Arabidopsis thaliana: one gene and its partners. The protein of the gene in region 1 interacts with the protein of each later gene in a biochemical or structural test. Each region holds a gene or a part of one and is shown on either strand. Other genes may lie near its edges. The genes, in order: AT2G45340, AT2G01820, AT1G29730 and FEI2.

Region 1 (6,681 bases):
TGTTGCTCTCATTGATATGTATTCGAAATGCGGAAGCATACAACACGCCATGTTGGTTTTCGAGGGAATCGAAAACAAAAGCATTGATCACTGGAATGCTATGATTGGTGGGCTCGCTATTCATGGTCTAGGGGAATCTGCATTCGATATGCTCTTGCAGATTGAGAGACTCTCTTTAAAACCAGACGATATCACCTTTGTTGGCGTTTTAAATGCTTGCAGCCACTCTGGGTTAGTAAAGGAAGGCCTTCTCTGCTTTGAGCTCATGAGGAGAAAACACAAGATAGAACCAAGATTGCAACACTATGGTTGTATGGTAGACATACTATCGAGATCCGGAAGTATAGAGCTAGCCAAAAACTTAATAGAGGAAATGCCTGTTGAGCCAAATGATGTCATATGGAGAACGTTTCTCACCGCTTGTAGTCACCACAAGGAGTTTGAAACGGGAGAGCTTGTCGCAAAACACCTTATTTTGCAGGCTGGATATAACCCGAGCTCATATGTGCTACTCTCTAACATGTATGCTAGTTTTGGAATGTGGAAGGATGTTCGTAGAGTTAGAACGATGATGAAGGAAAGAAAGATAGAGAAAATTCCTGGTTGTAGTTGGATTGAGCTCGATGGAAGAGTCCATGAGTTCTTTGTAGATAGCATTGAAGTTTCCAGTACATTGTAGATAAAACGAATGTGCAGCAATATATTTTCAAGGGCTTAAACCTATTCTGCAATTCCTTGGCATACATGAAGACAATGTCACATGGTTGGTTTTGTGCAGCTAAGATATGTCTGGAAAAAAACTTCCCACAAGATCACTTAAAACGTCTGAAAAGTGATTGTTTTTACAGCCTAAGTACATCAGCTACAGTTACAAGGAGATAAGATTGTTACATCATGAACCGAGTTTTTCGGATCCCCTATACTGAACCTAAAACAGAGTTAACATCAGGGGAATGGTGATAGTCTGAAACCTTGGTATGCTTTATATTCTTGGACTATCAAAAGCAAGAATCATGTTAAACGGGAAACTAATAATCCGCGGCGAGATTATTCAGTTCTTGGATAACATCTTCCATGGATGGTCTTTGGTTTGAGGATTCATGAGTGCAGAGAAGACCAAGTCTAGCGAGCTGAGCCGCTTCTACTTCCGGGAAGTTCTTTCGAAGATTTGGATCCATGAAGTCTTCATTCAGTCTTCCTGACTCTACAGCTTGTAAGATCATCAAATGGCTGATTTTGCTTTTACCACTCAGTATCTGCAACAGAATCATACCAAATGCATAAACATCGCTCTTATCAGTGAACCTCCCTGTAGTTATGTACTCAGGAGCTAAGTATCCCATTGCCGCACTTGCTTTGAGCTTCGAGAAAACGATATCATCTGTGAAAAGCTTGTGAAGACCGGAATCTGCAAGAGAAGGATTATACCAGTGATCAATGAGAATCTTCTCTGCAGATAGATTCTGGTGAACTATTGCAGGTTTGTTCCCATTTTCTCCATGCAAGTACACAATCCCTGAAAGGAAGAAAAAAAAGAAATCAGATTTCACATACAAAAAACCGAGTTTAGTTTACGAAAGAATGAATAGCAGAATCCAACCTCTGGCGATTCCGTTTATGATGGAAACTCGAGTTGCCCATTCAAGAACCTCTCCAGTCTCATCCTTCACATCAAGATACTGCAAAAGATTACCATTGGGAACAAACTCATAGATAAGGAAACATTCTCCACGTCCTTTCGAGCAGCAGAATCCTCTCAACCTCGCTAAATTCTCATGCTTCAACAGTGTCAGCATCTTCAACCCTTTGAGAAACTCGGATTCATCGGATTTACAGCTCGATTTAGCTATACATTTGATAGCTGCAACAGAACCATCTCTAAGGATACCTTTATAAACTGAAGAGACATTACTCTTCCCCAACAAGTTAATCTCAGAGAAGCTCTGAGTAGCTCTCTCAATCTCCTCAAGATTGAACATAAAGCTCTCAAAGACTTCTTGAGACAATGCACTGTTGTTGTTACTGCTCTGTCCTCGTCCTAACGGATCCCAACCACTTGCGTACTCTAAGCTGATCAATGGAGAAGAGCTTTTTCTTCTAGAAACTTCTTTGAAGTTGTACTCAGTACTAATCCTACCGTCCATTGCATCAAGACTGCTTCCAATCTTCTGTTTCCTTCGTCTGTACCATGTGAATGTTGAACCGCCAAAGATTGCAACTGCGAGGATTGATCCTATTAGACCCATGACGATTCCTAAAGGTGAAGACTTTAAGGATTTTGATGAACACCCGCCATTGTTGTTACTGCAATTGCTTCGTTGTAAATCTGCTGATTCTGGTTTCACGTCAACTGTTGTGAAATTCGTTGGGTTTGTTGGGTCTGGTCGGTTAGGGTTCGGACCGTTTAAGCCGGTGCAAGCTTTCAAATCAGTGAAACCATCTCCGCATAAACCGTGATTGTTTGAATACTGGAATCCATTGTTTAGCCTCTTCAAAGCTTCATAATTCATAAAAATCAAGAAACAAACAAGTCAGCAAAACATCTTTAATGTGGTTGTAAAAACCGGTTTAGAATTGATATGGTTTAAGTTCTCCACGATCCGGTTTTGGATTGGTTCCCGGTTCTGTTTAATCGGATTGGTCAACACTGAACCGGTTTAGAATCTGAAGAATTTATGAATCTTGAGGGAAAATAAATTATTACCAGAGGGAACGAAGCCGGAGAAGGAGTTATTACGAATGTCGAGAACTTCAAGCAAAGGAGCACCGGCGAGTTTCACCGGAACAGGACCAAAGAGGTTGTTGAAGCTCAAATCAAGCCTCGTTAACGTATCAATATCGCCTAAACTCGCCGGAATGGCGCCGGAGAGTTGGTTATACTGTAAAGCCAAGACAGTTATCTTCTTAAGAGAACCAAACTGTGTCGGTATACTTCCACTTAACTTGTTGTAACATAACTGTATAACTGCAAAAAAAAAAAAAAAAGTGTTATGAATATATAGATGCAATTATATTTGCCCTTATTTTTGTTGAGTTTTACATTTTAGTTTCAAAACCCCAAATAAAATTGTTTTTGAGTTTTGCATAAAAAAGAGTGAAAGATGAAGGAGACAATAGAGAGTATCCCTAGTTTCTAGGAGACTCAAAAATCTAAAAACTTGAATGGATGATTAAAAAAAAAAACTAAAATCTACACCATTCAAGACCTAAACTCTTTTTAGCTAAGTTTTAATAAACCAAATTTGACCCGCTTAAGGTGTTTTAGCTGCAATAAATGAATTATAGTGAGTGAGGTTAACAAAGAACACATGCATAAATAGACCGACCTTGAAGATTGTCTAAGTTCCCGATTAGAGGAGGGATTTCACCGGAGAGATTGTTGACATTGAGGTATAAATCGGTGAGGAGAGGCAGATTTGAGATATCTTTAGGAATATGACCGGTCAAGGAGTTGAAGTGAAGGTATAAACCGGTTAAGCTTGTGAGAAGACCGATTGAAGGAGGGATAGTTCCAGTGAGACCCATTCCTTGAAGAGAGATGTTAGCAACACGGCGGTTTCCGTCGCACGCGACACCGTCGAAGGAGCCAGAGGAGCAAGGGTCGGCGTCGGGAGTCCATGAAGTGAGGAAACGTTTTTCAGGGTCGAGAGAGGATTTGATATCGAGGAGAATGTCGAGCTCTGAGGAGGAGGAAGACAGTGCAGAAGAAAGGAAGAAGAAGAAGAGGATGAGAAAGAGTGTGAGTGGAGAGACCATGTTTGGTTGGAGAGAAGAGAGAGAGAGAGATGAGGAAGAAAATGAAAATGACTCTCTCTTGTGGTTTTGAAGAAAAAATCTTGTCCATTGTATTTATAAAATAGTAGTTCTTGATTGTTAATACTAAGAAAAGCTTAAACCACAAAAGTATAGATATCGTGAACATAATAATAATAAAAAGTTAGTTCAACTATGAAAATGTAAAATGATAACATAGAGAACTATATAGATCACAACTCTAATTTTTTAATATATAAATGTATATAGACTAATCTCCAATGTAAGTTATTGCAATGTATTAAGACATTCATATAGTAGCTAACTATACATAATTGTTATTGCAATGAAAGTATTTGAACCATAGTCCATATGTTACTCTTATGATAATTTTAAACCACTTGACTTTTTATCACTTTTTAATTACACATATTACTGATCAAAATCAACAGTAAATTTTTTTAACTACAATATTTTGATTGTTTGTTCATGTTACATCAAGTATTCTACATGTATAGTTTCACATTTTGAGTGGATTGTTTTTGATTGATTAGTATATATATATAAGTTTATTTGGAAATTGAAGGAAAACAAAAGACTCATGAAAATTGAAAACATTGAAGTCCACGAGTTCATTTCATTTTCTGTACTTTATACGGTAAAGATTACTTTTAAAGTCTTTTCAGAGGAAAACAATAATAGTTAGGCGAATCTTAGCTTTTTTTCAAAATTGAAAATGATACCATTCTCCCTGGATTTAATGGTAAGAAAAGTTGTTTCTTTTTCAGTGCACCAGCTATAAAATTGTACTTTTTATATCATTTGTTTTTAACTTTTCATATATCCATAAATGTTGGATATATGTTTTCTTATAAATTTCTATTAATTAGCGAATTCATAACTTATTAATGACCATATTTACTGAAAAACATCAAAATTGTGAGGTTGGGATTTTAGTTAGAAAAGAACTATATTTGACTAAATCAAACCTCGAGTTTATCCGATCATCATCAGTAAACACCCTTAGATATTACATGTACAAATAACCTGATAACAAGCTTTATATGTTCACATGGAGAATAAGGTACAAAGATAAATGGGATCTTCTTGATATTATTCCATTAAATTACTATATTTGATGCAAATAATTGTTCCATGAATAACAAAAAAAAGGGTAGCTAATATTTTATATTATATAAGAACAAATTAAAAGGTAAAAAAGGCATCCAAGAGGCATGGGGCTAAGAGTACATCAAATGGGACAAAGAAGATGATGGAGGCAAGTCAATAGTAGCAACATGTGAACATTTTTCTAACACAATTAATAAACAAATTTACGTAAAATTTTACAAACATGTGAACTTGTCTTGAGTTAATGTTTTTGCTATCTTCTATATCTGATCATAGCAAAAGGTAAAATGGACCAACACCTCGCTCTCCTCTAAGTGTAACATGTGAATTTACAGAAACAAGAAAGACATAAAGCAAGAGAATAAAGCAAAAGGCTAAGGTCTACTTAAAAGATATTCCGTTTTCTCTGTAATTTTCTTACTTCGTGGGTAGTGGTGGATGATATTTTTGGTGGATGATAGATGTGTGTGTATTTCATTATCTATTTATAGAATGAAATTATTATTTGAGTGAGAAAATGAGAATTTTCAGAAAGAAAGTGTCCATGATAACTTAATTAGTGCAGTCAAATCTCTATATGATGATGACATTGTGTTAATTAGACAATATTAATTTGAGTTCCTAAGTTGATTGAATATGATTTTACTTTACTTTTAAACTATAGTAATAGTACGTAGAACTCATTTGAAAGTAATAGTTTATGACCAATTAATTAGCCGATACACAGTACATCTAAGTGGTAAATTTTATAGAATTACATCACTAGTTCATCTCTTTTGATTTGTTATAAGATGAAACAGTAGTGTGATATCATTTAAAGTCACGCCTTATATTTGGCTTCGTCTCTAGAGAAATCCATCCCTCACACGTTATCTAACCCAGCCTGTCCCATTTTTGTTTGAATGCATGAGTACGATGTTTCGTATATTGTTACAAAAACTTCAAAAATTTATCAATAATCATTATAATTGTATGTTGGTACTTGGTAGGCACCGCATTTTACTGATTATCATCCATGTTTTGTTTTTGAGCAAAACTATGTATCTTGTTTTGCTATATATCGTGTCTAATTGTGAGTGGTAATATTAGTCTTTTTATTATTATACATAATTTTGTTTTGCTTCTCGTAAATTTAGACGTTGAAAATCGAACTTATGTGTGTTCGATGTGTTCTTTGATTTATTACATCTAAAATTGGTCCAAACGCTATATGTCATATAGGCGTGCAAATTAATTATGATATGCTATCAAACGCGTACATTTTCAAATGCATCAAATCTTTAATTATATGATTATACTGTACTAGTTTAGTTGTTTCGTCGTCACATATATCAAATTTTCGATTCGCATTTGTGTTAATTAGTTAAACTATTTATAACTACAGTAAATAAGACTTTTTTTTGTCATATTCAGAAAATGATAAGCTCGCCACTTCAAAAAATTCCACCAGCTGAAAAGATCATATTTCAAATTCAGAGAATTCAAATATATAAAAAAATAAATTCTTCTGTCTCACCTAACACGGGAAGACAAAACGAAGTAGTGTCCATGATAGAAAACAGAAGACAGTATATAAGCTCATGATTACAAATATACAAAAATTTGTGAAGAACAATAATTGTTAATCAAATTCTTTTGTGAAAAACTTATATGCTTGTGTCAAGCATCATATGAAAATAAGATAAGTATTTGATTATTGTGTAAATAATTTCAACTCTTCATATAGTTGACAACTGTATGCCATTTCCGTATAGTTCGTCACTCGATTCATTGGTTTCTAATGATAGACCATAATGT
Region 2 (6,969 bases), about 18 Mb from region 1:
ACTTATGGAGAGACTAGATTATTGCTTGATGTTCGCATACATAGACAATTGAAATTTAAATAGATTGGTGAAATTTGTTACAGATTTAGTTGAAAGTATCCTAAAAAATATCTTATCATTTGCTCATAATTTATAAATTAAAAAAAAAGTATATCACTTGAAAATCGTTAAGATGAATATTAAAACCAGAAAGTAATAGTAAAGTATTTTGATAATGAGCATAGTAGCATTTATAGATTATATAAAATTGAAATTATAAGTTTAGGTAGATGTTTCTATGGCATTCCATCTTCGATACAACATATGACAGAAAGTTTTCCCTATTCGAGATAATACGTATGCGGGTTTTCACGTTTTTACGTTTTAGAAATATGATTTAGTTGAATACATACCATTTGCAAAAACTTGCGATGATTATTAAAACGTGGAAATAATATGTGTTTGTTCAATTTATCTTGCACGTTTTAATACAGATTTTTCGTCTCAACGTTGTTGATCTATGCTGATAGTAGCACTGGATGAAAGATTAGAAGAAATACAACAAAAATGAACATACCACTTGGCATGGTGACTCAATGATGTCTTAACCCTAACTTTATTTTTTGTTCTTGAATTAATCTAGTGTAATATTGAATACAAATCCATAAGATAATAAAATAATATATATTTTTAAAATTATGTATTAAATGTATGATCACATCAATATTATAAGTTAATAATTATACAAACTTATCAATATATATCTAAAATAATTAGTGACATATGAGTATATAACTCTAGTATTGTTTTTGTTGTTGAATCTGCATTATATTGGAGCTCATATCTAATCTTTTTTAACTACATCAAAAGCTGTGAATGGTTTATAAGTGATAATTGGTTCCTTACATGTAAACGGTTAAGTTTGCCTAACTTAGTTCCAATTATTGGTGTCACCTTTGATGTTTAGATTTTATATCATATGATCAGTGAACCTAAATAGTAGATGCTTAATATTATGAAGATTGGATTGGACAGTGTGCTTTATAAAATGAGGGACACCAAAATCATGTATTTCATTAGAAGGGAAGGACCAACTGGCTCATAGCAAATTGAATGAATACGGAGACTGCTTTGATATTCCAGTGGGTGTATGGTCCAAAGTCCAAACCCATAAACACATGGCTTTATTGGACTTGTGGGCTTGGAATACAAAATGATTTCTCATAGAAAGTGTACTTATAGTAATCTACTTGCTTAAACCCCTAAACACATGTTAATAACTTAAACCGCAGTGAGTTCAAAATACTGTTTGGTTCAGCTTTTACGGTTTATGAGTTGGATTTTACTGACGAAATATTAAAATTTTAAGAACTCAAAGATTGTTATCTTTGCATAAAAACTACACAAAGTAGATAGATAAATACACTAACCAAAAGCTTGCAGTAGATAAAAACGAAGTCATAAGTAAATATGCTTCAGAGAAAAGCAAAAAAAGGGAGAGCGAGAGAGAGATTTATCACACAATGCTTCATCTTCTTCTTCTACTAAAACGTTTTACGCAATCTTGATTTTTTCAACGTCCATCCACAGAAGTGAACGAGTCAGCAAATCCAGATGGGCGAGTTGGGATACTTGTCTGCGTATTGTCTTTGCTTCCATAAGCCGAAGACGAAGATCCCGAGTCATCCGCGGTCTGGCTTAGTCCCTCGAAAGCTTGCCATTTCTTAAGCACCTGCGGAAGCGGCATATCGTAGTCTATCCCATAGACGTCATCAGGGTCGGTCTCAGTTGGTTTCCATTGGACGGTGAGTGAAGAAAGGACGTTAACGATGTGAGCCATGTCAGGTCTTTGGTAAGGCTCACGGGCACAGCAATGACCAGCAAGCTCCCAGACTTTTTCAATACTGGCTACGGTATCGTCGTCGAGGCTGATGTTTGGGTCTATTGCGTTTTTGAAGGCATTTTCGTCTTTGCTGGCTGCTACCCGACGGAACCATGTGACTAGATGGACGCTGTCTTCGGGTTGCGTCTCGTCTAGGGCTTTACGACCAGTGATTAGCTCCATAAGTATGACCCCAAGGCTGAAAATGTCTACCTTGGTCGTCACTCTTCCCGTCACTGCCAAAATCAGAGTATAGAACAATTGCCAAACGATCAAAGGATGAAACTATAACATTTAGGAAAATGCAATAAGATCAAAGCATGAAAATTTAAGTGCAAAACGGCCAAAGTATGAAACTTTGACACTGGGCAAGTGCAAATCAATTGAAAGGCAGAGACTTTAAAATTTGGGTAAGTACAAACCTGCGTATTCTGGGGCAAGGTATCCGAAAGTCCCAGCTACTCGAGTCTCAATGGAGTATTTGCCATCAGGGGCTAAACGTACTAACCCAAAGTCAGAGACTTTAGCGCGCATATCATCACCAAGAAGGATGTTTGATGGCTTTAGATCCCTATGGATAAAGCTCTGATGCGCAAGTGTGTGCAGATACTCGACACCTCGAGCTACATCCAATGCAATCGCCAGCCGTCTAGTCCAGTCTAACGGTTTTCGCCCTTCCTCTTTCCAGTGGAACAAATGCTGACTTAGTGTCCCCTGTGGCATGTACTCGTAGACAAGAAGCCTCTCGTTCCCGTCAAGGCAGTAACCGAGAAGCGCAACGAGATGACGATGACGCATTTTAGTCAGAACAGTGATCTCAGATTTAAACTCAGTAAGTCCCTTATCACTCACAACCGAAGACTCCATTCTCTTCACAGCTATTTTTGTTCCATCGTGGAGTTCGCCTTTGTAAACTGTCCCGAAACCACCTCTCCCGAGAATATTCTCTTCGCTGAAGTTATTCGTCACATTCCTCAAGACCTGTATCGATATAACCAAGTTCCCAGCTTCAACAACGTGAATATCACTCGCTGCACTTCCGCTGTGACTGTAGCTATCACTTCCTCCACCACTGTTAAGACTAGAAGCTGCAACAGTGAGTTTAATGTCATCGTTGTCACCCGAATGATGCGGATGAATAACCATGTTGCTGCTTGGACTTTGAACTCTAGCAGGTCGCTTCCTTTTCTTCGCATAAAGACACACACCAAGCCCAACCAAACACAATGCACCAACAACCCCACCAACCACAGGAACAATAATCTTGACATTGCTTGATTTCTTAGAAGTTTCACTGCCATCACTTCCTCCTGAAGGTTTACTTCCTGGTGAAGCTCCAGGAGCATCACTCGTTTTGTTAGGTCCATTCTTCCCCATGTTAGCGTTCCCTTCAGTCACCAAAGTCACAGTATCCCGAAACTTTGGCGGTATTCCATAAAAATCGTTGTTAGACACATCAAGTAACCTAAGCTTAGACAATGTGGTAAGCTCATCAGGTATATGCCCGGAGAGTTTATTATCAGCAAGATTGATAGTCTCCAATGAAGTAAGCTTAGCTAAACTCGGAGAAATCGTACCCGAGAGATCCTGTTTCCTCATATTAACAACCGTAATGTTACCTCCAGAACAAGTAATCCCAACCCAGTTAACACAAGGATTGTTTCCTTTCCAACTTTCCGCAAGCTTCACTGGATATCCAAATGATTCAGCTACAGATACCAAAGTATCCACACGAGGATCACAAGCCTCACCAGCTACATTAGTACAAAAGCTATTCATGTTGTTGACTATATCAACACCAACGGATTTGCCAAACAACGGAGTCGGTCCTTGAAGATAATTATTAGTTAAATTCACAGTAGTAAGCGAACTCAAACTAACCAAAGACTGTGGAACAACACCAGTGAGCTGATTCTCTCTAACATTAAACACACGTAGAGATACCAAACCAGAGAGATCAGGAATTGGACCTGAGAACTGATTTCCTTGAAGAGAAACCTCAACGAGCGAAGTCATGTTCCCCAATACCGAGATCGATCCATTAAGCTTCTGACCATTCAAGAACAGAGACTGAATCGAAGTACCAGCAAAACTCATCGGTAACTCTCCTTCTAAACCATTCTGAGATAGTTTCAGATTCGTCAAGCTCGGAAGTGACTGAGAACCGAAGAAATCTGGGATCTTTCCAATAATGCTGCAATTGGAGAGAGTTAGATTCTGCAGAGACGTAGCTTCTTTAACGGTGTCTGGAATTACCCAAGGATCAAACGGATTGTTCTCGAGATACATTTCTTGAAGAGAACTCATACCAGAGAAGAGATTCTTCGGTACAGAGGTAAAAAGATTGTCGTGTAGATTCAGAGTCTGTAAACGAGATAAGCCAGAGAGATCAGGAATAGGACCAGAGATACGATTGAGAAAAAGCTCGAGAATAACCAATTCAGAGAGACTCTGAAGATTAGTAGGAAGAGTTCCACGAATCCCTTTTTGTTTAAGCTGAATCTTAGTAACACGATTACTTCCATCGCATTGAACAGATTGCCATTTACAAGGGTTAGGGTTAGACCAATCGACGTCTGATGTAAGATTCAGACTTGATTTGAGAGATTGCATAGTCGAATCATCGAGACCGGTTTGAGAAAGTGAGAAATTGGCCAAACCCAGTAAAGAGATGATGAAACAGAGAGTACCCAAATGGGAATTTGACATTTTTTGTTGGAGAAAGAAACAGAGTGGAGGAGGTTAAAGGTGTCGCCTTTGAGAATTCTGAGTCTAGGGTTTTAGGGAGGCATTGAAGAAGAAGAAGAAGAAAAGGTTTACAGAGAGGAAAGGGAAAGACGAAGGAATCGGCGGAGATCGAGGAAGATAGAGAGACGAAGAAGATTAAAGGTAAGAGGATCATAAAAGCATTGCCTTTTTATTTATTATTCTCATTCAAATGAAATATTTATTCTTCTGTAATAAAATGGATGAACCATAATTAATAAAAATGCATACTTTAAGTTTTGCTTGTGTAGAGTGTGTGTGTGTGTGTGAATACAGCTGGCAAGGTGGCATAATTAGTGGTGAAAAACAATAGTGAAAATCGCCGAATAATCCATAATTATGAATAATGAGATTATCTACTAATTGTGTTTATAACTTTATATTAAAAAAAAATCAGAATTAGGAATAAGATACAAATTTTATGACATTTAGATGTTTTCAGTTTAGGTGAATATATTATTAACATTTGTAAAGTTTGTAAATAAAAATCACGTTTGAAATATTTTATTTATATATTCAATTAGAGAATTTTACTTTTTAGGAAGTTTTAACAATTGATTTGTGTCAAAATTGGTAATAATAAAAGTAATATCTCTATGATTGAGTGTATTTCGGCATTTTTCGGACTAAACTGCTAATAATATCGATTGTCTTTCCTAAATTTTTAAAATATTTTATTTTGTAATAGATCTTGGATTTTTGTTCACATTATTTCCATTTGCTTCTATAAAAAAAGGATATTATTTCCTCCTTATGAATATTTGTGGGACGAATACAATACGTGGAAACTTATCTGTATTTCTTAGAATAGAAAAAGCATTTAATACGGTGACGGTGGTTACCTATTGTTTAGGGTCAAAGATTAGTCGAAAATTGAAATTTCATCGTAACGTGCTAAAGACAGTTTAAGATTACACCGTTTTATTTAATTCATTTTTTGACTCATTGTGTCACGACTTCGTGAGTAATTATATACTTTGAATAAAAAAAATTAAAAGATTAATGAGTACTTTGCATTGCATGGTCTTAATCTTCTCATGACTAATTTTGACCAAACAAGATAAATGTGATTTTTTTGCAGTCCCGACAAAAAAGTTTTTAACTGTAAAAGACAGACGCCGTGAAATCCGGAGCATATTAGCCACGCATTAATCTTCATTCGGCTGATTTTTTAACGGTCGTTATCTTACGCCGTTTACCACAATTTTTAATGTTTGTTAGGTTGGAGAGTTATTATTATTACTTACCAGTTTCACTCTAACCTAGAACTATTCTTCTTCTTATGGTATTGAATGTCTGTTTTTATTCACTAGTAATAAATATTATAACTATACTATTTTAAAAATAGTTATAGTACGATATGTAGAAATTGGGACATGTATATTGTTGTTGTTAATCTTATAGAAAAATAGTAAAAGTAGCTAAAGATTGGTGTATTATACGCACCAACCATATACTATAAACTCGCACGAAATGTAGATCGAACACTTGTGTACGTAGAAAGATTACGTGACAACAACAACTAGTCCACTTTGCTGTTCGTTACGGTCACACATCAACCACATTTATTTCACTTACTTCTTTTTTCAATCATTTCTTAAATTCTCAATAATTCTAAAAATCAGATATTTGTCCAAACCTCTTTGGTGTAGTGGCACAAGGAAACTTTAACTCCTATACCTGAGTTTGATTTTTCATGAAAACAATAACAAATTTGTTTAGAAAGTCTCTCAGTTGTGATTTGGTCCAATTAATTTATTTGGTAGTTAGAAATGCAGACGGTATGATTATCCTTGGTATTAGTCGGAAGGCATTTCAAATTAGAACCTAACAGTGTGGTGATCCAATTCTACCTAAATCGGGAGAAATTCATTCTGTAGTATTTCGTTGCGTTCCTACTGAAACTGATAAAATAAGTCGATAGAGTATATAAAAAACAAACAAAAAGTCAGATATTTTCTATATACTCTTCTTGGACAAGTTCCTAATTCTTCTCATCCTTTATAGATTACATCGAGAGATCCGATTAAAGGGTTGTTGATTGGCTTTGGTTATCTCACTCGGTTTAGTGAGATCGACGAACCAATAGTAAAACGCAGTCGTTTTTAAGCTTTGCTCTGTTTCTGTTGTTTGAAAGCTCAAGTCGTCGACTGAGCTATAGCTAATGAAGAGTTGTTTGAGCTCTTTCTCTGATCTTCGTTCAACTAGCTAACCGATTTGGTTGCTAAACAAGCTCAAAAGATGAATCAAAATGGTCTCGTCTCAAGTTATAAGAAGATGTTATATATGGAAAAGTTATTATTAGAACATTACAATGTTTAAACGACTAACCAAATCTGATA
Region 3 (8,991 bases), on another chromosome or scaffold:
GCAAAACATTATTAGAAAAGAAGAGAAAGTAAAAGGATTAAACGAAGAGAAGACAAAAAAACTAACACTCACAGTTCTGTAATACGACATATCGTGTTGTTGTTGAAGCTACAATCACAACCAATGGTGTTGTTGATATCTAGATTCGGAACAAAATCAACTTCTTGTATGATCTTTAGAGTTTTTGAACTGCAAGGATCTTCATCCCTTAGGTTCAATCTCTTTATACCAAGTGTAGTAGCTATCTCCTTTAGTGCATTCACTGCATTAATATAGCAAAAAAACATATTGAAAATAAGTATATAAAATATATACGGATTCTGATTATGATTTATAAAATTTTTAGAAATGATACATTCATCTGCGTGAAGAGATGAAAAAGAAGCCAATGTTGTTATATTTGTGAGGGAACTTAAGATAATGGTAAAGAACAGGAAAAAACTCCAGAGGATGATTGACATATGTATATATAAGGTATATTTAGTGATTCTTTGTATATATGTGTATTTAATTTGTTTGGCAGATCACAAAGTCATCACCAACAAGCAAATTTATAGGGTTTTCTTAGGTTGTCGGTGAGTAGAGAGTATAGGTATATATTGACCAATTCACCAAAATAAACATTAATGTCGACGTTAATAGTGGTGAATAGAGAGGTTAATGAATGCTTGATGTTTCATGTCTCCTTATGTATTGGTTGATTAATTTTAGAACCTCAACTAATTAACACTCTGTGGAGGAAGTTGAACAATTCTTGCATCTAACTTCTCCAATTGAATGTTATTCATCATACTATAAAACCTTGGGATAATTTCCTCAAAATGCTATGCTTTGTTCTTATTTATATATATCAAAGCGCGTATAGAACCTTATGATGTATGACTTCTTTAAAATGCTCTTGTGCATGTTTTAAAAATCAAAATATTTACCATGTTATCAGCAAATTAATACTAATAGAAAGCCAACACTTGGTGACTAAACTACGGCCAATCCGTACGGCCAATCACACAGACAATATACATCGATTACACACACCACTGCCCACTCGTTATAGATTACACACACCATTGACCACTCGTTATAGATTACACACACCACTGACCACTCGTATTTGTACTAAAAATGAAAGCATATAAAGCCATGTCTTTACTTTCTTGGATGAAGAGTCAAAGTAAACGGCTAAACGCTAGGACAAGGACCTTTTGGATTTCATTTTGGAATTTTCTCTATAGTTTTAATTTTATAACGAATTTCAATTTAAGTATGATTTTTTCTTCTAAAACAAAATAAATTCTTTTCCAAGTACAACTAGCGATATTAGCCCTAATTACAATCTTTTCTCGAGCCCGAAGTAGCCTACAACAACAACCCTAGCGTAGAGATAATCAGAGGGTTCAGGCTACTGTATAGTAAAGACAATGGACTCGGGGCTGAGTGGGTACAGATCATAAGCAGATTCAGATGATGAAGGAATCGACAAGATATAATCAGACGACAAAGACGATGGCTTGAAGTGCAAGTTATCACTATACACTCCAGGGTCTGATATGATCTGTTCTATCTCAGTCTCCCCTTCAAGCATCTTCACAACTTGCGACATGTTTGGCCGTAATGTCGAAGACTTGTTGGCGCATAAAAGTGAAACCTTTATCATTCTCTCTGCCTCCATCACATCGAACATTCCTTCCAGCCTCGGATCCAGAATTTCCGCGATATCCCCTTTCTTTTGCAACACAAATGCCTGAAATTGAAAACTAAGAACCTTTTTATTTGAGAGAAAGCAGAATTCTTGTGGAGAAAAAGACTGAATCAGTACCCAATCGAGAAGGCCAACACAACATTCGTCATCTGGCGTGTATTTCGCGTTGCTCTTTCCGCTAACAATCTCCATTGCCACCACACCGAAGCTGTAAACATCTGCCTTTTCTGTTAGGTGACCCCTCATTGCATATTCAGGAGCCATATATCCTCTGCAACAAAAATAACAATAACTGCTATTGAAACATCATCTTATGCTGAACTCATCTGTACGACTGAATATACTACTAACATTGTTCCTGCAACTCTGGTGGTAATGTGACTCTGATTGTCTTCATGGAGCCTGGCCAACCCGAAATCTGATATCTTTGAGTTCAGATCCTTGTCAAGTAGAACATTTGTCCCTTTAATGTCTCGGTGAATGATCTTAACTGCTGAATCTTCATGGAGGAAAGCAAGCCCTCTCGCGATTCCCAAGCATATTTTGTGTCTTGTTCCCCATTCTAGTTTGAGACAGCTTCTTCCTGCTCCCACAGTTTACAAGCAAATATTCAATCTCAAGACAGAAGAGAATGCAGTCAAAGGATTTGGTCCAATCATCTATCAGATAAATTTACCAAATAATGCATCAGAAAGACAATTGTTCTCCAAGTACTCATAGACAAGAAGCAGCTGGTTTTTCTCAACACAGCATCCATAAAGCTTCACAAGGTTCGGGTGCTGCAGGCAAGCGATCATACCGATCTCGTTTACAAACTCTTTGTTACCTTGATGTGATTTGGAAGATAGCTTCTTTACCGCAATCAATGTTCCATCTGGTAATCGCCCCTGTATTGTCAAATTTTTGGCTTTACCGTCACCTGTTTTTAAGAACACTAACATTGATTTCTAGAGCTTGAAGACTCCTTTGTACCTTATAAACAGATCCAAAGCCGCCTTCTCCAATCTTGTTTAAGGGATCAAAATCGTTGGTCGCGACTTTTAGTTGCCTCAAACTGAAGGAACCTGTTCTTAGATCAGGTCCCTTAAGCTCTTTATTTTCAAAAAAAAAAACAGAACTTTACATGGTTTTTAAGTAGCGAATTCAATACCTCGTTCTGCTGCATTTGCATTGCTAACACACTTTCTCCAACAGAATGCGGCCAGGAGCAAGAAAGCAAGAGAGAGTGTTAAGCCAAGAATTAGAGGATATTTTGTTGGTTTATGATCTTTTTTTACCGGAAGAAATTGCACTGGAACTGAAGGCGGACAAAAGAAAACAAAGAGAAAAAGATTAATCCATATTCAAGATTTAGCAGGAACAAAAGGACTCAAAGACTTGAGATTTTCTTCTTCATACCACCGCATTCAGATTCTGAACCTGGTAAAACAAAAACAAGTAAACAATTAGGATAAAAATTTCTGAGGGAAACTTCATGTTTACCTCCACAGAATTTTACTTACTGGGACAAACTGAGACTGCAGAGATAAGAGAGCCATAGTACCCTCTTTGAGGAATGATCATTGTGCCTTTCCCTGCCCAGTAAAGCCGTATCTCTAAAGTGTTATCAGTCACGGTCGTGTTTACTTCTCTTATAACTTCTTTGTGAGTTCCATTAGCCTCCTCTCTAATGCTGAAATCCTCCCAAATCAACTTCCCCTGAACATATATTAAATTTCAAACTTCAAGAATCGGCTAAAACCCCTGAAAAGGGGTTCTTAAAGAATCTGCGGCAAAAGGCTATATGTACCTGAATGTAAATGTTAAAAACCCGTTTCGCTAGTTTAGTGTATGGTTCCACATCTGAGAACTGAATCTCTGCAAAATGGAGTTTCACATTGTAGCTTCCATTTTCGAAGCAAAATGCATAGTAAGCCAAACTGAGGGGAGAGCGCCGAGCATTCTGGTAAAGGTCTGGATATTTTGCTGAAACTGCAGATTCTGATGAAACTGTGTATGTATCTTCTGTTATTGCATCATCCATAAAGTCACCAGTATTGCTGTATCCCCAATTTTTCCTATAATAGTTCGTAGCTGATCCGGTAAGTCCATAGTTATCACCTTCATACAGAAACCTTCCTCGAGAGTTTTCGATGGTTACATCAGGTCCCCCACAGTTTATATGCAGCGATCTACTATCTGTGGAAAGTAAACAATTTCCAGTTCATATGCAGAAACTCGAAAAAGGGTATTTGGAAATCAATAAAAAGCAAAAGAACCTACAATTTTGGCATTGCTTTATGGCGGAACATGGAAGAAGTCTGGTTCTGTATACAGAACAATGAGTTAATAACAGTACACGAAGTAGCAAGTGATTAATAAGATTGACAAAATGCTCTTACAGACGGTTTTTTGAGTGTGAGCTCTCATATGTGTTTATATTCCTGCATGGAAACTTATGTTAAAAGTATCCAGAAAATTTAAGCAGATGAAAGGCGGTAGTTAACAACAGAAAAAACATACTTCCTCTCTTTGCACATTGGAGACCACGTGAAATTATTATAGGAAAGATCACTGCACATATGAATATTGGTAAAAGGAGAGATTAGTGTAATACCGAGAAATGACTTGACATATATGACTGCTATAAAATAAGAATGGTCATACATATTTGTGCTTGCAGTAAGGAAAGCTCCTGTTTCAACCTTTCCAGACAACATGTTTCCAGCTAAATATCTGAAAAATGAAACCAGGAGATGAGTTCAACAGCTATAGTAAATTTTAATAGCATACCTAATCCTTTTGATCATCTGACACTTTAAGACTTACGTGTATTTTGGGGCAGTTGCATATGCTGGTATTTCTCCAGTCAGCCTATTAAAGGAAAGATCCCTGTCAAAAAAAAAGGCGTTATAACTTATAAGAGACTGGACAGTGTTTAGCAAGATGCGTGGTGATAAAACATGAGACTTACAGAGTCATTAAACTGGGCAGATCCCAGATACTGGTTGGAATTGGTCCAGATAAGTTTATGTTTCTCAAAACCCTGAAAATGATCAACATCAGTCTAAAGTCTAAACACAAGTAATTGACCATATGATCGTATCTGGACCTGAGACATAAAAATGTACTATTACATACAAATATTTCAGGCTCGTGCTAGTTATCTGAGGAACATGTCCCAATCCTGCAACCGTGTCACTGATTCTCCTGCATAGAAAGAAAAGGCCACAATTTCGTTTCAAAAAAGAACATAGGCTTCTGCAACTTACAAAATTATTGCTTCAACAAATATCTAAAGAGGATAAAAAACTTACACGTCGATCAAATTCTCCAGATGAAAAATGGAGTCTGGAATAGGTCCTCTAAGGCCACTCGCATAGAGTTCTCTGATACAACGTTATCAGCACAAGTCAGAAAACATTGAAATGTACAAATACTAACTATTTAAGTGTAATGAAAAATAAAGATACTTTACTCACAATCTTTGAAGTTTTGGTAACTTCCCAATAAACTCTGGAATCGATCCGTTCAGGCGATTATCACTTAAATGGCTGTAAACAATATAATGAAAAACAATTCAGCATGATGAACACATTCTAAAGCTGATATTTTGTTAGTAATCCAGATGAGAAAGATGATCTTACAGATTAGTTAGCTTTGTTAGTTTTGCTAATGTCTTGGGGAGGCCTCCGACAAGTTGGTTGGAAGAGAGTCCTCTGGAATCAGCAAAACAAAATTAAATGGATCATGTTTGAGAAAATCACTGGGTCATAAATTTGTTTCGATCTCTTCAAAAGTGATTTTTAAAAGGGTCTTACGTACAGTCCTTGTAGATTCACTAGGTTCCCTAGTTCCTTAGGAATAGTTCCCGAAAACTGATTGGCTTCAAGAACTCTGCAATCAAACAAAAAGACGAAAGATTTAGTTTTCAAAAAGGACAAAAAGCTTTATATGTAATCTCATAAGATCAACAAAATAATGTTAAGAACATACAAAAGGGTGAGGTTAATAAACTTCCCCAATCCTTTGGGAATGTCTCCTGATAAGCGGTTTGCACAGACAGAGCTGCGGAGAAATATATCAGGTAACTTCAGAACCTTTTCTTACTTTCCTAGCAATAAACAAACTTGAGAACAAAGACTTACATAGATTTGAGGTAAGGCAGTGAGGCCCATTCCATAGGAATTGAGCCATAAAGGTAATTATTGTATAAGTCACTACAAAAACAAGCAAAAGAATTCCAGCCATTGTTATGTTTCTTCTACGATAGCAGTAGATATTGAAAGTAGTTGAAACACTGAAAACCCTCCTCACATCGATTCAAGATGCCGAAACTTGTACAGCATTGGAGGAAGTCTACCTGGAAGATTGAATTTCTGGAGGACACTAGATATGAGGTACATAGTAATTGGTCAGAAACAAGAGAAATAAGCAGAAAAACGGTTAGTTTCTTCTTTTTCAGAATGGTTTTTCTTACAAGTGTTTGATATGACAAGTGCTGTAGTTATTGAAATGACAGTCACATCTGATTGTGCTGTTCTGTCCTTCCTTGAGAACACCTTGAGATATCACTAGAGTCTTTGTGAGACATGGATCTTCACTTAGGTTCAAGTGCTTCACACCCAATGTTTCAGTGATATCCTTCAGCGCTTCCACTGGCGAAGACAGCAAACCAGAAACAAAATCAAGTTTAGTTCAAATTCACAAAGAGAGGCACATGTATATATGATATAATGCATTGAAACTACTAAACCTTCATCTGGGTGCAGAGAAGGAGAAGCAGATACAGTACATAATAAGTAGATAAGTGTAACAACAAAGAGAATAGAAGAGCTAAAAAGGCAACTTTTCGACTTAATCATGAGATTGTAAGCTGCAGACATGGAAGATTGTGTTCAAGTGATCTATCTATGACTTAAAACAATACATAAATAATATATAACTGAAACAATACGAATGCACATATATATATATATATAGAAAATTGTGAAAAAGTGAAATGCAGTTTGCCTAAGTTGAGGTTAAGAGTAAGCACATGGGGTTAGTCATTGCTTGTATTAGGCAGCTTGCCAAATTCAGGGGATAATTACAATCCAGCCTCTCATCTGGATTTATTTACAATATGAGCAGAAATATTAGAAAATTCTCTTCAGCCTTTCGCCTCCATTTTACTTGCAGAACTACTAGAAGAACACCTAAAAGGCTAAAAAGCAGTAGGAGTTTATGGTTCCAAAAGCATTATTGCTAACACTTTCAACAGAATATAGCCTAAACAATTCTAATTTTAGATCTTGAGTCACATAATTTGAAGATCATGGCTTGTTTTGTTAATAGATAAAAAAATTGGAGGGATTGACAATTTCTATGCATAACTTTGGTTGAGTACATGAAACAAGACTTCGACTAGTTGCATATTTTATTCAGTCTTCTTGAGAGTTGACTTCTACTTTCCCTTGGATCTATAAAGCTAGTGGGTATAAAATTTGGTTTACTCATATTAATCTTATTGAATGTCCTCTGTTAAAGGCCAATAAAGTCAGAAGCTCTGCAACTGCCAGAGAGAGAGATCCAAATAACCAAATATATCTCAGACTCTCTCATACGCAAGAATTCCCTATCCCTAGCTCCTTATCAAATAAGACATCATTTTTAGATCAGACTACCATGAAATCTACAATGACATACTTGTTATCCAAAATATCATGCACACCGAAAATCATCTTACCAATGGTGTAAAACGTTTACAGGGCAAGAAATCAAGCTGTCCCTATCATATTGTCTCTAGAGACTTCATGCTTATAACTTCATTACACACGTTTTGGGAATGGTTTCTTCCCGAATCATCGTCAAAACCACAATCTAGAGACATATGCTCAGCCAATAAAAAGTCTTCCAGTGCACAGAGAAACAGATACAAGACTAAAAGAGGAAGTATGATGTAAAAAATTAAAGACACCAAAGATGTCACATTAGTAGTTGTATAACATGGCATTTGATACCTCAGTTGCAAATTGTGTTAACCAGAACATTTAACTTGATTTGACTAACATTTCATGAAGAAGTCATTGTAGCTAGAAAAAAGGCAAGACTTTGTTACCTGATTTAAAACTAATCACTGCAAAGAGTGTCCTCAACAGTTCATGATAGATTCTAAGCAAAAGAAAAAGCTTTGATGCACGGTATAAGCTAGCAAATGACCCGATCAATAACAGAGATGTGACCACCATAATTCACGAAGTGATGACACTCTACAGCTCTAGTCTAATTATGCAGTTTTAATCTCGTTATCTGTGTGTGTTCTTTCTTCATAGATGTCAACGCAAAATGCAGCTTCAAGCTTACCAAGTTACAATCTCTACCAGACAAAAAGCTATGGCCTACTGCATTTCAATCATCAGAATTCTTAATATCTGCAATTTGACGAATTTCTCTTTGTCCACTGATGATACTTGAAAGCCAAAAAATAACAGAATCACAGACCTCAAAGTCATCACGTTGGGGAAGAAGAAGTGCTGCAATGTAGGCGCCATTGTCGAGCTCAGGACGGAGCCACCGGGAAGTATCATCGTGATGTTCTTTCCGGCGGAGAGGGTGATAACGTCGACATAGCTGGCTTACGAGTACACCCACGGCGCGAACGAAAGAACCCTAATTTCATACCCCAATTTAACGATTTTTGGTCAATGACTACAAAGCGTTATTTTCTTCTTCTTATAAACCAAAAGTTTCAGTCTTTGACAATGAAATTTGTGAAAAAAATGTAACAGAGATTGTTATGTAAAGGTCGTTAACAATGGGATCTAGGGTCTAGAGAAAACAACGGACTCGGGACTAAGTGGGTACAAATCGTAAGCAGATTCACAGGACGAAGTAATCGACACAAGATAATCGGAAGGTAAAGACGATGACCCTATCTCCGCCGTTTTCTTAAACCTCAATTCATCACCGTACGCTCCAGGGTCTGATATGATCTCTTCTATCTCAGTCTCTCCTTCAAGCATCTTCACAACTTCTGACATAGTTGGTCGTAATGTTGGAGACTTGCTGGAGCATAAAAGTGAAACCTTTATCATTCTCTCTGCCTCCATCACATCAAACACTCCTTCAAGCTTCGGATCCAGAATCTCATCAAATGCTCCTTTCTTTTGTAGTACAAATGCCTGGAATTTGAAAATCAAGAACCTTTATAAGTACCCAGTTGAGAGAAAAACTGAGTTCTTGTGAGTGTAAAAGGATTGGTTTTAGTGTACCCAATCGAGAAGGCCAACGCAACATTCGTTATCTGGCGTGTAATTTGCGTTGCTCTTTCC
Region 4 (8,151 bases), 3.7 Mb from region 1:
CCCCTTTCCCCAATCTACAACCCACAAATCACCGTCACTGATCGCCTCAACGCTGCTTTCCTCCGCTCAGTCTCTCGTTCCCGCCGCTTCAACCACCAACTATCCCAAACCGATCTCCAATCCGGTTTAATCGGAGCAGACGGCGAGTTTTTCATGAGTATCACCATCGGTACTCCACCAATAAAGGTTTTTGCGATCGCTGACACAGGAAGTGACCTAACTTGGGTCCAATGTAAGCCTTGTCAACAATGTTACAAAGAAAACGGTCCAATCTTCGACAAGAAGAAATCCTCTACTTATAAGAGCGAGCCTTGTGACTCACGTAACTGCCAGGCCTTGTCCAGTACGGAACGGGGATGCGATGAATCCAACAATATATGCAAGTACCGTTACTCTTACGGTGATCAGTCGTTCAGCAAAGGAGACGTTGCCACGGAAACTGTCTCTATTGACTCTGCTTCAGGGTCCCCTGTTTCTTTTCCTGGTACTGTCTTCGGTTGTGGCTACAATAACGGTGGTACCTTCGACGAGACTGGTTCTGGGATTATCGGTCTAGGTGGTGGTCATTTATCACTAATCTCCCAGCTCGGTTCGTCGATTTCGAAGAAATTTTCTTATTGCTTGTCTCACAAGTCAGCTACCACGAATGGCACAAGCGTCATAAACCTAGGCACTAACTCGATTCCTTCAAGTCTAAGCAAAGACTCCGGCGTGGTATCAACTCCGTTGGTCGATAAAGAGCCTCTTACTTACTACTACTTGACGCTTGAAGCCATCTCCGTCGGGAAGAAAAAGATTCCTTACACCGGAAGCTCGTATAACCCAAACGACGACGGAATACTCTCGGAGACATCTGGAAACATCATCATCGACTCTGGAACGACACTGACCCTCCTCGAAGCTGGTTTCTTTGACAAATTTAGCTCGGCGGTGGAGGAATCAGTGACCGGAGCCAAGCGCGTGAGTGATCCACAAGGGCTTTTGTCTCACTGTTTCAAATCCGGAAGTGCAGAGATCGGTTTGCCGGAGATAACGGTGCATTTCACGGGTGCAGATGTGAGGCTGAGTCCGATCAACGCATTCGTGAAACTGAGTGAAGACATGGTTTGCTTGAGTATGGTTCCGACCACCGAGGTTGCCATCTATGGGAACTTTGCTCAGATGGATTTCCTAGTTGGGTATGACTTGGAGACGAGGACGGTGTCGTTTCAACACATGGATTGCTCTGCGAATTTGTGATTTGACGGCGTCGTATCGAGCTTATTTTATATTGTCCATGATAATCATTTGTTTGTTATGGAGATGTAAAATCAGAATCAAAGCTTAAAAATTATCCTTGCTAGTAAAAATAATTACCTTCTTTCTATATTGATCTTCTCATCGATATTATATGATTGGTTTCAACTAGTTCCGAAGTACACAACATGTATAATAAAACTTAAGAAAGCAAACAAGAAAGTATTATGATAGAGAAATTATTCAGATTCTTAGGAACAGTGTTTCTACAATGGATGGTCATATACATTTTAATCTCATGATCAGATCAATTGAGGCGTGTCACCAATCTACCAATTCAAAGTAAAAAAAAAAAAAAAAAAAGGTACCGACTATGAATGGCTCGAGAACTTTGTACTGTAAAACTGAAAAGGAACTCTGAAAAGAGAAGGCAGACAGACTTTGTGAACGTGAGATCAATCGGAGCTGGAGTCGTAGAAGTCGCTGGGGCAAGGAGTCATAACTTCGGATTCAAGTAACTGGACGACTCTGTGCATTGTTGGCCGCTCATCTGGACTTGACGACACACACTTTGTTGCTATTGATAGAAGTGCGTCGAGACTCTCTCTCTCCACTCCTTCACAGCTTAGATCAACAATCTCCTTTGCCCGGTTTTCGCTGATTAAGAAGTTTAGCTGCAAGATTATAAAAAACAAAATTTAAGCTTTTACTAGTCAATATTATTATCTAAGCTGGATCTCGTTATGCTTACCCAACCAACAATGTTAAAGCCTTTCTCGATGAATGAGGCATCCGTGGGAAGTTTACCACTCAAGACTTCAAGAACCAAAACCCCGAAGCTGTAAACATCGGTTTTCTCAGTCGCTCTACCGCTTTGCATATACTCTGCAAAAAACACTCATTATGAGTTCACGGATTTAGGTCCTAACAGATAGTAACAACAAGTAATAAGCATTGTTATTACTGTGTAATTGAGTACCTGGAGCCAAGTAACCGAATGTGCCTGCAACAATGGTTGTAATATGAGATTCTTCGTCCTCTAACAACTTGGCAAGCCCAAAGTCTGATACCCGAGCCTCCAGATTTCCATCCAGTAAGATGTTGCTTGATTTTATATCACGGTGTATAATCCTAGGAGAACAATCATGATGCAAGTATGCCAACCCTTTTGCCGCTCCTATTATGATATTAACTCGCGAATCCCAATCCAGCTGCTCGCCTCTCTCTACACATTCAAAAATTTCACTTAATAGAATCATAATTCTCCGTTAAGGAAACCCGTAAATATGAAGTTGAGGGTTTACTATGTAGAGCTTCATCAAGGCTACCACCAGGAAGGTAATCATATAGCAGAAGCTTTGATGTGGGTGAATTGCAGTATCCACGTAGATTCACAAGGTAACGATGTTTGATGCTCCCAAGAATCTCAAGCTCCCTTTCAAAAAACCGATCAAAACCTTCATTTAACTTAACAATTCTTTTCAGCGCAAAAACATTGCCATCGTCCATAGACAGCTTGTACACTGTGCCAAAGCCTCCACAGCCTATTATGTGCTCTTCATTAAGAGATTCCAGTTTCTTGATAATGTCTTTGGAAGCGTAGGGCAAATCTCCATGGAACATCACTATAGACGCACCTGGATAGAAAAAATCGTCTCTTATGGTGTCAAGTTTTGAGAGAAAAATATAACTCTTAGAGAGAATATCTACAATATGAGTCAGCATGGCTCACCTCCACCGACATCTATCACAAGGCTTTTACTCTCAACTCTACCAAGCTTTTTATAGAGAAAGCATCCCCAGAAACACATGAGCGCCACTAGGAGCAGCCCACCCACAGTAGCTGAAGCACTTATAAGCAGCCTTTTAGGGTTATTACCTCCTTGGCCTATAACACGGGAGAAACCAAAAAGCAAACTCATTTCACGCCAAATACTACAGATTTCTCAAAAATTAAGTTATAATCCATATATCCTGACAAGAAATTGATTAAAACACAGTTGCTTTACCTGTTGGAGACCCAGAAGCTGTAGAATTTCCACTGTCATTGCACACAATATCGATTTGTTTTCCACACAAGTTACGATTTCCGTTGAAGCTGCAAGAGTGATTCAACAGTTTACGACTTGGTTATTTTCAGCTACACTGCTGCAAAGCTAGTAACAGGGTGCTATCGTACACAACGTCACAAAAAAAATTATAACTGCTTTGCCAGATCAACCGTAGAAAGATTTATCAACCATAATTTACAAAAATTTGGTTGGGGAAATGGGTATATATAAATTATACTTACGAGTCCCTCGAGAGTCTAGCGAGTAGGCCGTCAGAAGGTATTTTTCCCACCAGGAAATTGTTTGAGACATTGCTTCAAAAGAAGATCAACATAGTTAGTAACATTGACACTCATATATCTACAGGACTGCAAAATAAAATACGCAAGTTAGAGATTAGCAACTCACAATTTAGTAAGCCTTTTCAACTGCCCAAGTGAAGCAGGGATAGCTCCATTGAGATTGTTGTTTGAGAGGTCCCTTCATAAATGAGAGTCAAAAATCATAGTAGTTCAGAAGAATGTAGATGATATGCCCATTTAATATGAAAGAAGCCTAGCATAGATTTACAATTCTCATCATCATATTTGAGAGTTTTTCACCCGGAAAAAATAACACAATACGTGATTAAATATAAGTTATGTCAAACTCCCTATAATTTTTAGGGTTCACCACGACTGTAGAAATAAGTACTTTCGAAAACATTATGTTGTTGCTGCATGGAAGATCAGAAGAACCTCTTGTAGTTCACAATATAATTATAGAGGATACTAAATGGTGAGAGTAGATAGCAGAACAACAAATAGCAGATCCTAGAGAGGCTAAGAAAACAAATCCACTTGGAAGAACGAGGAAAAAAACCACGTACAGGTTTTTCAGCCCGGACAGGTTTCCTATTTCACTTGGGATTGTCCCAGTGATGTAATTATTCTGCAAGTATCTGCAAGGAATAAAAGGACAATAAATTATAAAAGATTCACAACGATTCTTGTCAACTAGCTAAACTTGTGACTGAGTTTATCATCACTCACAAGACGCATCAATATTATGCACCAACTATATAGAAGCAAATAAAGAAAAACACTAGTAATTGTTAGGAAATAATATAAAATTTGGAAAAACAAAACGAGAATTCGATCAGCAATGAAGTGTAATCACACTAATCAGCATAAGTATTTGGGAAAGCCCTTACATTCCCTCTAATGCCGTGCAATTTCCCAATGAGGCAGGTATTGATTGATATAACGCATTGTTGTGAAGCATTCTGCAATGACATGGGAATACACATACAATGAGTAGTAGAGCATATGCTAGACATCAATAATATTAATTAAAAGGTTAGGAGCACATACAAAAGCCTTAACTGATCCAGCTTTCCAAGCTCAGGGGGTAAAGGTCCCCTTAATTTGTGATAAGTAAGACTCCTGCACACAAGAAACTTCAGGAACCGACAAAAGATGCACCACATACTGAAGAAAAAAAAAGAATTTAAACTAAAGAAATTTTAAACTTACAAGGCTATAACTCTTTTTGTTTTTGCATCACAGGTCACTCCTTTCCAGTTACATGGATCAGGATCCTCTGGTCTCCACAGACCAATAACACCATCAGAAGCCAAAACTCCATTTCTAAAACTCAAAAGCGCCTCACCTGGAGAAAAAAAGGATTTAATCCCTTCAGCAATCTGGGCGGAGTAAATGGTGATCATGACTTGTCAAAGACAAAATATAGAAGAGATTAAAGACACATATCGCTGTATACCATCAGGACTAATTGCTTCATTTTCATTCGTTAGTGCAGAGAGAAACGAGATCAAAAGAAACCATGAGCAGCAGCGCTTCATTAGACAGATGCCCATTATGGCACCGTTCAAGCATAATATAGCTACTGCCAATCATCTGAAAGAACAGCCTCCGGAATGCAACACTCGTAGCATATACTCAGCTGCTCCGTGACGCCCAGTCTATCTTCAAGAAACAAAAAGAGACTCCTGAAGTTAAATAAAATAATGTCATTAGACCGTACAACAATAACAGCTGACCCTCATTTGAAACTCTATCAAGCCTCGATCTTCCAATAATCAGACAACCAAATCCTCAATTACAAATCAAGCGTTCCACAACATCGATGCACAACATTTGCATGGTCTCATTAACAATTACAGCACCCAGAACAGTGAGATTATCTAATCGGATCAAATCCACCTCCCAAATTTGCAAAATCAGAAATCGAACCTTCAGAATAAAACCCCAACTCATTATTTAAAGAGGAGCTCGGATAGCTAAAATCGAACTTAAATCACGAAATTCGGAGGACATCATTGCAATCACAGCACAAGAAGAACTGAAGAGTCAACAAAACCATTCAATAATCTAAAAAAACGAAATCGATTCGCCGATAACTCAGACCAAAATCTCACTTCCCCCAAAAAAATGGCGAAAGAGAATGGGAATTTACACGAACCTCAAAATGGATCCGCGAGGAGGAAGATGAAGATGAAGAATAAGACAGAGGAAGAAGACGCAATTGAGCTGTAAAGCAATGTCTTAACTAACAACTTTTTTTTTTTTGTTGTTGTTGTGATTTATGAGAGAGTGAAGAGAGAGAAAGTAGAGTGTGCAGTGGAAATGTGAGATACTTTGGAGAAGGAATCGGCTAGTTACGAGTTTACGACCAATGAGAGAGGAGAAGTGGAGACCACACGTGCCGATCATGACTTATTACACGTGTCGACCGACGCATTGTATAATGCCAGAACTGGACAAGGGCTTGTTGGGTCAGTTAAAACATCGTTATTGCGTGGGCCTACTAAAGCCCATTGTTATTTATTTGGAAGCGTACTGTACTTTACTATCTTTAGGGACAATTCTTGTATTTTCAGCTTTAGCGGATCTTATTCACCTAAATCAAACAAACAAGTGTACTTAAAAATGGAACAAACAATGGACTGATAATCATTATTTCATTTGCTTTTATAATAGAAATCAAAATATTAATATTGGATTCAATCTTTCCACGTAACTTCTTGTTTTGGTAATTTCATCTATGATTCTTATAAATTTGGTACCATTGTAAAAATATGGCTTAAATTTGAGTTGTTGTTTCATGTGTTAGCAGTAGACAAGAAAAGATATCTGGAGATAGAGAGTTACATCACCTAAGACATGAGGATGGAGATGGAAAAGGTGTAAGGTGTGGTGTGGCTTAAATATTCTTGTACTAATTATCAATCAAAGTTTGTTTGAAATTTGAGTATTTGTATTCTGAATTTGAATTAGATATTTCAAATATATTAAAATCCAAAGCGAAATCAGATCCTAGCATAAATATTTAGGATATTAAAATAATAAATTTTAACTAGTTTTTAAATCATAAAATACACAATGTTTTTGAACTTCCATAATCAAACTAATAAATCCATTTTGGTTTACGTGTCTAGTTTTATAGAAAATGACTATTTATTTGTATTTTATAGAAGAAAAGATAATCCAATAAGTAAGTAATAATAACTCATGATTTTGTTGATTTTTTAAAATAAATATTTTTATAACTAAAAATGAGTTATTCATTTCAAAATATTACTTTATTTTCTTAGAAATTAATAGATTGTTAATGTAAATATATTTTGAAAATATTTACAGAACCAACAATAGGAAAATTCAGTACTGTTAATCATTTCCTAAAATAGTTTGAAAATGCCGATCTCTCCACGTGGAGAAAGCAAAAGAAAAACGCTCGTTTTAAGATTTGAAATAATCGCGCGTGTAAACATTTCCAATCAAAACGCGCGTGAAGGGTTTTTAACAAAAAAATTACACCACCGATTTAAACGTAGAAACCAAAATTCCCCCACTCTCTCTCTCTCATTACGCTCCACCCTACTCTTCTTTTTTGTCCTTCTCTCTCTCTCTCTTGCCGGCACTAACAACACGAAGAAATTTTTTTGAAAAGAGAGAGAAAGTTTCCAAGAGACCGTACGAAGAAAAAAAAAACTTGGTATAGATCGATAAGATCGATACCGTCGGAGAGATAATTTCGTGGAGTAATGTCGACGGAGGATGAGAAGTTATTGAAGGAGGCGAAAAAACTTCCTTGGGAGGATCGGCTTGGGCATAAGAATTGGAAAGTTAGGAACGAAGCTAACGTCGATTTAGCTTCTGTTTTTGATTCGATTACTGATCCTAAGGACCCTCGTCTTCGCGATTTTGGTGAGTTTCTCTACCTCGTTTTTTTATTATTATTATGTTAGGGTTTTTGTTTTTGAAGCTCAGATCTGATTAGGGTGGTTTATATCGGTGTGGATCTGTTTTGAATTTGGATTGTTGAGTGGGAATGTGATTGGTCTAGGGTTCCATTTTGCTTTACTTTTGATTGAATTTCTGATTATTATTTTTTATTCGCAGGTCACTTGTTTAGGAAGACGGTGGCAGATTCTAATGCGCCGGTGCAAGAGAAAGCGCTTGATGCATTGATTGCGTTTTTGCGAGCAGCCGATTCAGATGCTGGAAGGTATGGTGTTGTTTATTTTTATTGCTTTAGAAATGGGCAGAGTGGAGTGTTCGTTTGCATGTGAATAATTAGTTTGTTTCTGCTTTTGAAGGTATGCAAAGGAAGTTTGCGATGCTATTGCGCTCAAATGCCTTACGGGTCGGAAGAATACTGTGGACAAGGCGCAGGCTGCTTTCTTGCTTTGGGTAGAATTAGAGGCCGTCGATGTTTTTCTGGTATGTCATTCATTCTATGTTTTTGCAACACTGCTAGGGTTATCTAGACACATACGGTTAACCCTTGCACTCTGATGTATAGGTTCACCATCTAGCCATAGAGTTACTTGCTAGATTGCTGATACTGGTATCTGAAACTA

Evidence for each region.
Region 2: the proteins of AT2G45340 (region 1) and AT2G01820 form a complex in vitro, tested with the Arabidopsis thaliana proteins (one large-scale study listed by BioGRID).
Region 3: the proteins of AT2G45340 (region 1) and AT1G29730 form a complex in vitro, tested with the Arabidopsis thaliana proteins (one large-scale study listed by BioGRID).
Region 4: the proteins of AT2G45340 (region 1) and FEI2 form a complex in vitro, tested with the Arabidopsis thaliana proteins (one large-scale study listed by BioGRID).

What each region holds. Positions count from the first base shown.
Region 1 is NC_003071.7:18,688,814-18,695,494, reverse strand, and holds AT2G45340 (Leucine-rich repeat protein kinase family protein), read right to left. Parts: upstream 3,832-6,681; 5' UTR 3,757-3,831; coding exon 3,327-3,756; intron 2,966-3,326; coding exon 2,705-2,965; intron 2,498-2,704; coding exon 1,601-2,497; intron 1,517-1,600; coding exon 1,029-1,516; 3' UTR 770-1,028; downstream 1-769. Other genes in the region: CRR4 (Pentatricopeptide repeat (PPR) superfamily protein), read left to right, coding at 1-679.
Region 2 is NC_003071.7:356,112-363,080, forward strand, and holds AT2G01820 (Leucine-rich repeat protein kinase family protein), read right to left. Parts: upstream 4,814-6,969; 5' UTR 4,571-4,813; coding exon 2,284-4,570; intron 2,098-2,283; coding exon 1,553-2,097; 3' UTR 1,242-1,552; downstream 1-1,241. UniProt on the Arabidopsis thaliana protein: Involved in auxin signal transduction and cell expansion and proliferation regulation.
Region 3 is NC_003070.9:10,399,311-10,408,301, forward strand, and holds AT1G29730 (Leucine-rich repeat transmembrane protein kinase), read right to left. Parts: upstream 6,604-8,991; 5' UTR 6,565-6,603; coding exon 6,435-6,564; intron 6,337-6,434; coding exon 6,159-6,336; intron 6,068-6,158; coding exon 5,996-6,067; intron 5,899-5,995; coding exon 5,827-5,898; intron 5,747-5,826; coding exon 5,675-5,746; intron 5,576-5,674; coding exon 5,504-5,575; intron 5,398-5,503; coding exon 5,326-5,397; intron 5,233-5,325; coding exon 5,161-5,232; intron 5,068-5,160; coding exon 4,996-5,067; intron 4,889-4,995; coding exon 4,820-4,888; intron 4,725-4,819; coding exon 4,653-4,724; intron 4,571-4,652; coding exon 4,508-4,570; intron 4,415-4,507; coding exon 4,346-4,414; intron 4,253-4,345; coding exon 4,202-4,252; intron 4,123-4,201; coding exon 4,081-4,122; intron 4,006-4,080; coding exon 3,962-4,005; intron 3,878-3,961; coding exon 3,489-3,877; intron 3,398-3,488; coding exon 3,202-3,397; intron 3,119-3,201; coding exon 3,098-3,118; coding exon of another isoform or gene 3,077-3,097; and 17 more. Other genes in the region: AT1G29720 (Leucine-rich repeat transmembrane protein kinase), read right to left, coding at 73-262, 356-461; AT1G29740 (Leucine-rich repeat transmembrane protein kinase), read right to left, coding at 8,069-8,294, 8,507-8,841, 8,932-8,991.
Region 4 is NC_003071.7:14,959,496-14,967,646, forward strand, and holds FEI2 (Leucine-rich repeat protein kinase family protein), read right to left. Parts: upstream 5,944-8,151; 5' UTR 5,751-5,943; exon of another isoform or gene 5,522-5,750; intron 5,278-5,521; 5' UTR 5,146-5,277; coding exon 5,049-5,145; intron 4,938-5,048; coding exon 4,802-4,937; intron 4,712-4,801; coding exon 4,640-4,711; intron 4,552-4,639; coding exon 4,480-4,551; intron 4,228-4,479; coding exon 4,156-4,227; intron 3,768-4,155; coding exon 3,696-3,767; intron 3,602-3,695; coding exon 3,530-3,601; intron 3,335-3,529; coding exon 3,246-3,334; intron 3,125-3,245; coding exon 2,969-3,124; intron 2,874-2,968; coding exon 2,541-2,873; intron 2,462-2,540; coding exon 2,216-2,461; intron 2,122-2,215; coding exon 1,988-2,121; intron 1,911-1,987; coding exon 1,692-1,910; 3' UTR 1,356-1,691; downstream 1-1,355. Other genes in the region: AT2G35615 (Eukaryotic aspartyl protease family protein), read left to right, coding at 1-1,239; MOR1 (ARM repeat superfamily protein), read left to right, coding at 7,333-7,495, 7,691-7,796, 7,888-8,011. UniProt on the Arabidopsis thaliana protein: Involved in the signaling pathway that regulates cell wall function, including cellulose biosynthesis, likely via an 1-aminocyclopropane-1-carboxylic acid (ACC)-mediated signal (a precursor of ethylene).